2 linked regions of the Drosophila melanogaster genome follow. Each later gene encodes a partner of the first gene's protein in a complex. Each region holds a gene or a part of one and is shown in the gene's direction. Other genes may lie near its edges. The genes, in order: Trax and trsn.

The links.
Region 2: the proteins of Trax (region 1) and trsn are in contact, whole or in part, in a crystal structure (PDB 3RIU), measured with the Drosophila melanogaster proteins. Residues at the interface, in NP_650454.2 of Drosophila melanogaster: Gln33 (codon at 2,179), Phe34 (codon at 2,182), Ile36 (codon at 2,188), Tyr37 (codon at 2,191), Ser38 (codon at 2,194), Glu40 (codon at 2,200), Leu41 (codon at 2,203), Lys44 (codon at 2,212), His45 (codon at 2,215), Leu105 (codon at 2,395), Val110 (codon at 2,410), Tyr111 (codon at 2,413), Gln112 (codon at 2,416), Arg114 (codon at 2,422), Thr145 (codon at 2,515), Lys146 (codon at 2,518), Ser147 (codon at 2,521), Asp150 (codon at 2,530), Trp151 (codon at 2,533), Gln152 (codon at 2,536), Pro195 (codon at 2,665), Gly238 (codon at 2,794), Tyr239 (codon at 2,847), Ser241 (codon at 2,853), Leu242 (codon at 2,856), Asn243 (codon at 2,859); in NP_610591.1 of Drosophila melanogaster: Asp8 (codon at 2,015), Phe10 (codon at 2,021), Asn12 (codon at 2,027), Tyr13 (codon at 2,030), Gln14 (codon at 2,033), Tyr16 (codon at 2,039), Ile17 (codon at 2,042), Gly83 (codon at 2,359), Tyr86 (codon at 2,368), Arg87 (codon at 2,371), Thr116 (codon at 2,520), Arg117 (codon at 2,523), Gln130 (codon at 2,618), Asp137 (codon at 2,639), Val138 (codon at 2,642), Glu139 (codon at 2,645), Tyr141 (codon at 2,651), Leu142 (codon at 2,654), Leu178 (codon at 2,762), Gly181 (codon at 2,771), Phe182 (codon at 2,774), Leu184 (codon at 2,780), Leu185 (codon at 2,783), Asn186 (codon at 2,786).

The regions. Positions count from the first base shown.
Region 1 is NT_033777.3:15,359,743-15,363,668, forward strand, and holds Trax (translin associated factor X), read left to right. Parts: upstream 1-1,949; 5' UTR 1,950-2,082; coding exon 2,083-2,795; intron 2,796-2,845; coding exon 2,846-3,029; 3' UTR 3,030-3,108; downstream 3,109-3,926. Other genes in the region: Cog2 (component of oligomeric golgi complex 2), read right to left, coding at 1-565, 620-1,690, 1,743-1,835; CG6171 (uncharacterized protein), read right to left, coding at 3,144-3,355, 3,410-3,573, 3,635-3,926.
Region 2 is NT_033778.4:10,478,403-10,482,031, reverse strand, and holds trsn (translin), read left to right. Parts: upstream 1-1,920; 5' UTR 1,921-1,993; coding exon 1,994-2,068; intron 2,069-2,121; coding exon 2,122-2,209; intron 2,210-2,275; coding exon 2,276-2,372; intron 2,373-2,434; coding exon 2,435-2,550; intron 2,551-2,606; coding exon 2,607-2,938; 3' UTR 2,939-3,021; downstream 3,022-3,629. Other genes in the region: Pef (peflin), read right to left, coding at 443-669, 742-805, 863-942, 1,490-1,709, 1,769-1,777.

The DNA.
Region 1 (3,926 bases):
AACATCGTGTGGGAACCTCTCGATTCGTCTTGCGATACAGCCGCGGCAAGTCGTTTACCTGTCGCACATTTTCCGTCTCGCATTCTCCGATCAGCAACTCCACTAAGGTCTTTTGTATGTTGGTCAAATGCGCACCTAGCGTGTCGGCTAGGCAGGACATCGATTTGGCCAAAACGTCGCTAAAGATCTTCGTACACTGTTCAACGGGCACTGATTTAATAATCAATTGCTGAAGCTCTGGCAGATGCGCGTCAAGTTTGCGAATGTCAGCATGGAGGGCAATAAGCAACTGGTTTCGAGTGTAGGGCTTAGAAAAGTTGCTGCCTTTCGATTGAGTAATTGCATCCGTGATCCAGCGCGAAAGACGCAGTACCACCTGCACATTAAGTTTGTAAAATTTCGGAAATACTTCGGGTAGGTAAACTCCCTCGGCCCAGCACCGTGTCATAGCCTCCTTCGCGGCATTAAATGCGGATATTTTGTAGTCACTATCGGTGAGATTATCTTTTAAACTATCCTCCTGGAGCACCGGCTCCAACTGGGCTTCAAATTTACCAGCAATTTCCTAGAAGCATTTCACATTAATCGAAAATTCTACTATATAAACTTATTTACATACTTGAAAGCATATTTGGAAGTAAACCGGAAGATTCCAGCGAGCCTCAAAACTTTTTGTTTGCTTGTGCTGGCGATAGAACGTTACGGCCTGCTCTCCGGAGCAGGTCAATAGCTCCTCTATTTTGCCCAGGAAATCGCGAGTGCACTTGTATTTTACATAGAACACCTCCGAATTGCCAGGCGCAAATATGGAATTCATGTGCAGTTCGAGACGCGTCTCCACATCAGACCAGTAACTATTAACCACGAAGTTAAAGCCCGGAAACTTATCAGAGTAAAGCGTAAGGCGCAGCAAATCGGTCATATGCAGCGATATAAAGTTGAGGATCTTGCTGTAGATGCCAGCTAATCCCTGCGGCGAGTTTTGCAACTGTTGTTCGCCAATGACGCCCGTCATATACGGTGCCACCACATCCTCGCGGAAGGCGCACTCTGCCTGATCACAGGCATTTAGAGTTATGTAGATCCGCAAGCAGCGCTCTAAGGATTCCGGTGCCGAGTTGCGTGCCTGGCTAAGGGCGTCATTGAAGAAGCGTCGCAGATGCTGATGCAATTGCTCTTCTAGCTGTTGGATCTTCCCTTGATGGTCGGGACTTAAGTGCTTGAAACAGTGTTTCTCATGGAACTTCAATTGAATCAGGTCCAGAGCAGCGCGCTCCAGGTCAACGGCCTTAATTGGTTGTTCCCCGCTGAGCTTTCGGTCGATTAGATCCTGAAGCTTGTTAATGGTCTCATACACTTTCTTGAGGCTCTGCAGACCGCGTTTGAACTCGCGAAGCTGACGCTTTTCCTCCAACTGGGCCCGCAGCTCGGTCACGTTCTCATCTATCAAGCCGTGAATGCTCTCGATGTCGCTGCGGAATTGCTCCAATGGCTGTTGAATGGTCTTTATATTCTGGTCCAGTCCCACCAGGTTTGCGCTCAAGTTTACGAAGTCTGCGTAATCCTCGTTGATCAAATCTATCATGGCCGCCCGCAGACCTTTGAGGTAAAGGCCCAGGTTGTCGCGTAGCTGCTCCAGACTGGGCGCATTGCGGTTCTTGTGCAGAAACTCATCCACCGAGAAGTTTGCCTGTTCGAAGTAATTTTAGCAAGGGAACACATATCTGACATGGATTACTGACCTTCATAAACTCATTCTTGTCGAAGCACAGCTTCTCCGCTGTGCTGGTGGAGCCAGCGGTCAAGTGAGCCGACTTTTTGACCGGATCATGCATTGCCTTAGGGCTGGAATTTAATTATTTGTATATTTTTAACAAATTCTTGCCACGAAAGTTTCTCGGGTCTTAGCACCGATATCAGGTGGCGATATTTGTCGGCAACTATCGATATGGTTAATACCTCAATTATCGGACATTTGTTTACAATAAATTTTTTGCCGACGCGATTGAAAATCTAAAAAAATAAAAACAAAAAAAAAAACATATTTAAGCCGTTCAAATAGAATCGCGTAAGATATCAATAATGCCGAAAAACGGAGGTGCTGGTCACAGGAACACTGCTCCCAGGAAGCGCCAAATACCGGCTGCCCAGCTGGATGAAGACAGTCCCATTGTCCAACAATTTCGAATTTATTCTAATGAATTGATCATGAAACACGATCGCCACGAGCGAATTGTCAAGCTGAGCCGTGACATTACCATCGAGTCCAAGCGTATCATCTTCCTGCTGCACTCCATTGACTCGCGTAAGCAGAATAAGGAGAAGGTCCTGGAGGAGGCACGTCAGCGACTGAACAAGCTGATCGCGGTTAACTTTAGGGCTGTGGCCCTGGAACTGCGCGACCAGGATGTCTACCAGTTCCGCAGCTCCTACTCTCCAGGATTGCAGGAGTTTATCGAGGCCTACACCTACATGGAGTACCTGTGCCACGAGGATGCTGAGGGCGAGAACGAAACCAAGAGCGTTTCAGATTGGCAGGCCATTCAGGCGGTGATGCAGTACGTCGAGGAGAGCAGCCAGCCAAAGGAAGAACCAACTGAAGGCGAAGATGTTCAGGCTATAGCTCAGGTTGAGAGCCCAAAGAAGTTCCAGTTTTTCGTAGACCCCACGGAATATATACTTGGACTTTCGGATCTTACTGGTGAACTGATGCGCCGCTGCATAAATTCGCTAGGCAGTGGAGATACAGACACCTGTTTGGACACCTGCAAGGCCCTGCAGCATTTCTACAGCGGGTTGGTTAGTTCTCCCTTAAGAAACTCAATTAACTTCCTATTGTTTTCAGTTACATCAGTCTAAACTGTCAGAGAGCCCGTGAACTATGGCGTAAGATCACTACCATGAAGCAGAGCGTTCTTAAGGCCGAGAATGTTTGCTACAATGTAAAAGTTCGCGGCGGAGAGGCTGCAAAATGGGGCGCCACTTTTGATCAAAAGCCAGCCGATGAAGTTGACGAGGGCTTCTACTAATGGAACTCCATAGACATAAGTTTTCATCAACAGAATATAATATATATATATAAAGCCTATTATTCGGCAAATGGAACGTATCATCTAAGTTAACAGCGAATTTGAATTTATAGTCTAATCATAGTCATCCCCACTTATTGGTTGGCTATCAAACTCCAGCTCATCATCCTCATCTTCGTTTATGTCTGCGCCTGGACGGTAGTCCGCATCCCTGTCATTGTCGCCACCAAAGGGTTCATCCTCCTCATCCGTCCCCGAGTCATCGTCGTTCTGCCGTTGGGCTCGCCGTTGACGCAGACGATTTCGAATGTTCTGCGCGGAATTGACTACAATGGGCTTTAGCCAATTTGAAGCCGAAGTATGCCAAGCCTTCTACTTACAATCCGCAGGATGGGAGTAATCCTGGAAGTGAACTGGGTTACGGCGATAGCATGCGTTACCGAAAGGACAAGCTGGAGTTCCGAGGGGTGGCGCTGGAAAGTTTGGTCGCCGGTAATCCTGATCCCCCGGATGAGCTTCTGCACTACGATGAGCTGGATTTCGCCTGTCATTGGAAAAAGGTATATTTTTAGTTGGTAATATGGGAGTTGGTTAGTGTGAATCACCTGTAGCATCGTATGCCGAAGCGACAAGAAGTCCTAATACTGCTTGAAGATACGGTAGACTCGTCGGCGGCGTCCTGTGCATTGCTATTAGTGGGCTCGGTTTTTACCATCGCAGCTGCAGGTGAGTTTCCATTGTCCGCTGGTTCGGCTTTAATCTTGATCGCAGGAGTAGTGCTTGTGGGCTCATCTGCATTCTCCACTGGCTCAGCTTTTATTTTCATAGGAACTTCAGGATTTGTTTCATCTTTAATGGACGCCACAGGCTCCTCCGATTTTACGCGCTTTCTTAGGC
Region 2 (3,629 bases), on another chromosome or scaffold:
CTAACTGCATATCACGTGGTCTTCACCGATCGACGAAGACACGATTACGAACTGTGGGCAGTGTGACTGCTAAAATAAGACATGATTTTATAATGAACTTTTCATATACAATGTTTACATTTTAAATAAAACGCAGATATCTTTTAATTTTTAAAAATACGTGTGTATAGTTTATTATTAGGCGCAAGAGACTTTGTACTATGATTATTGAGTCGAACTGCGTTAACAAATACTTTTGAAATTTGATTCTGATACCAGGAGATTGCAATATGACTGTGGAGTGATTCATTTACATATTAAAAAGCTAACACCGTTGAAAATTTAAGAAAAATGCACCAGTCGCGAAATTTATGATCATCCACTGTTGGCTGTAGTGTGTGTGTGTGTGTGTGCAAGACTGTGGAGATGCATTCCCATGGAGCGGTTGCATTGAATCATTCTTTCAATACGAGCAGCCAATGGCCACGGTGAGGAAGTCCTCGAACCCAATGGTGATGGTTCCATTCTGCTGGGTGTCGCGCTGCCTGAAGGCCTCCGTGAAACGCTGCACCTGCACGCAGAGCACTATGAACTGATCCACGGACACCTCTTTGTGGCCCTGGGGGTCGCTCTTCTTCACCAGGAAGTTTATGAATTCGGGCGAGAATCGAAAGCCCATCTGGGTGAAGGCTGCCAACAAGTTTGGTAATTAGTGTAAAAGGCCATAAAGGAATTGGAGATTCAGTTGTTGTGTTAGCTTACCTTGGGTCAGCTCCTGTTCCTCGATATGTCCAGAGGAGTCCTGATCGTAGGTCTTGAAGACTTGCTGCAACAGTGATACAATGAGTCAGACTACTTAGTTTCGATATAAGAAATACCTTACCAGCCATTGGTTGATGTAGTTGTAGAGCTTCTCGAACTCATAGATATCGATGGTACCACTGGCGTCGTTGTCGAACATGCCTGTTGAGTAAATTAAAAAAGGCGATAAAAATACAACATAAATCGCAGGGTAAACAAACGGAAAAGTGTCTGGCGCTCCAGGTGATCTAAACAAATATGCATGTACCCTAAATTGGGGCAATAAATACAGTGAAACATTTATAGCCGAAAGTATAACTAAATTGATACTGACTGTCTGTTAGGGGAGTACTGACGTCACAGTTTCCGGAAGGGGAATCGAAGGAATTTTAAAGTATTTCATAACTGAAGCTTACTTAGCTATCATCAGCTCACAGGATGATCTAAATATATGTGCCCATGTGCCCTTCATTGGTTCTTGGCATACAGCGGGTGTGCTAGGCTACGCATAGAAGATTCAAATCGACAACCTGTTCTTGTGTTCTTGTGTTACTATATTGCCTACCAAACTAGTTTAGCTTATGATCGTCTTTTAGAGGGTCTACTGTATAGTATACAGTGTATACACGTTTGTTAGTGTTCACCTACTGACGTCACAGTTCCTGTAGAGGAAACTTTGGGATCTTTTTTGGGCAGGGCTTAAGCTTACTTATCATCAGCTTGCAGGCATTATCCGAGAAGTGATCGCCACGCCCATTCACCAGGGCCGCCTGCAACTCGGAAGCGTTTATCTTTCCAGATCGGTCGCGGTCCACCATGGAGAACCATTGCTGTGCCTGCGGAGACACCTGGGCATTCTGCGGCGGAAATGCTCCTGGCGGCGGGGCATAGCCACCACCGGGCTGGGCATACGGGTTATAGCCTTGTCCCTGTGGATAAACGGTAGTAAGTACATTTAATCCACTTTCTTAAGCATAAACACACTCACATAAGACATTTTGTCACGAGCCTAGTTCGATTCTAATTGGAACTTGAGGGACAAAACAATTTTAATGAAACTACAGATGACAAGAAGGGCGTTCACCAACACTGGTTTGGGCAAGCGATAACAATGTGACATATCGATAGCATTGCTAGACTTATTGCTTGGCTATACTCCCATCCCTATCGCCGGTATAAACAACTAACAAAAGCAGCAAAACATTAAGCAAAAATGTCGAACTTCGTGAACTTGGACATCTTCTCCAACTACCAAAAGTACATAGACAATGAACAGGAAGTCAGGGAGGTGAGTTGACGGTTAATATCCTAAAAACCACCATCTTAAACCATTGTTTTTAGAACATCCGCATTGTGGTGCGCGAAATCGAGCATTTGTCAAAGGAAGCGCAGATTAAACTGCAGATTATTCATAGCGATTTGAGCCAGAGTAAGTTCTGTACAATTTGGTAGCTTGTATGTTTTGTTCTAATATGACATTATACTTGAACAATAGTTAGTGCCGCCTGCGGCTTAGCCCGCAAACAGGTTGAGCTGTGTGCCCAAAAGTACCAGAAATTGGCCGAACTGGTGCCAGCTGGGCAGTACTACAGGTGAGTCAGATGGTGAAATCCGTGGTGTCTATTGTGGGTGTCGAATGCTCCGCCTTCTCCAGATACTCCGATCACTGGACCTTCATTACGCAGCGTTTGATCTTCATCATTGCCTTGGTTATTTACCTGGAGGCGGGCTTCTTGGTCACCCGCGAAACAGTGGCCGAAATGCTGGGATGTAAGCTAGATTTGGAAGGCTCTCTGGATACGAAATAATAGTTAATTACTCCACAGTGAAGATCAGCCAGTCTGAGGGCTTCCATCTGGATGTGGAGGACTATCTACTGGGCATACTGCAGTTGGCGTCGGAGCTCTCCCGATTCGCTACCAATTCCGTCACCATGGGCGACTACGAGCGTCCCCTGAATATCTCCCATTTTATTGGTGACCTGAACACGGGCTTCCGTCTGCTGAACCTGAAGAACGATGGCTTGCGAAAGCGCTTCGATGCCTTAAAGTATGATGTCAAGAAGATCGAGGAGGTCGTCTACGATGTCAGCATACGCGGTCTGTCCAGCAAGGAAAAGGACCAGCAGGAGGAGCCGGCTGTTCCTGCAACCGAATAGTTTACTTCGTACGTAGGATAAGGCGTTTATTAAAATGAAAAAGTTTCATTTAAACAAGCAAATATATTACATTCATTAAACAGAGTATCATTTTATTTTACTATTTAAATCAGGAATGCTCGTAGGAATCAAATGTAGCAGGATATATGTATGTAATCCTGTGTTAAAAATCTGAAATGTGTTTTTGTTTTTTTTCAGAACACATTTCTTTACATCTTAATAGGCACCATCTTATTTTAATGATCAGTTTACACAGAAGCGAAATAGTGCTTTGAACCATAACAAAAAAACATAAGTTTGTGCAACTTAAAGGTAATTAAAATGGCTGTGCGCGTTTTGATTAAATCATAACTAAGTATACATAGAGACAAGTGCAGAAGTTTGATGGCTTAACCCTTTTGAAACTTGTTTAGCCACCACCACTGGGCCGCAGTTGTTGTTGTTGCCCCGATCATATGGTGGATTTGTTGCTGCTCTTCTTTGGCCGCTGCTTCCGTTTCGCCTTTGCTTCTGCTTCTCAGGCGCAGTTTCAGTCTCTCTTTTGCCACCGCAACGCTTACAACGTTAACATTGCGCGCGCGTCTTTGCATTTTCTTGTTTGCTGCTTCGTCGTCCGTCGTCCTTCCCGTGTTGTTCTTATTGTTTTTTCCCGCTTTGTGCGCTCTTTATTGTTTCGCCCTTTCTAGCATTT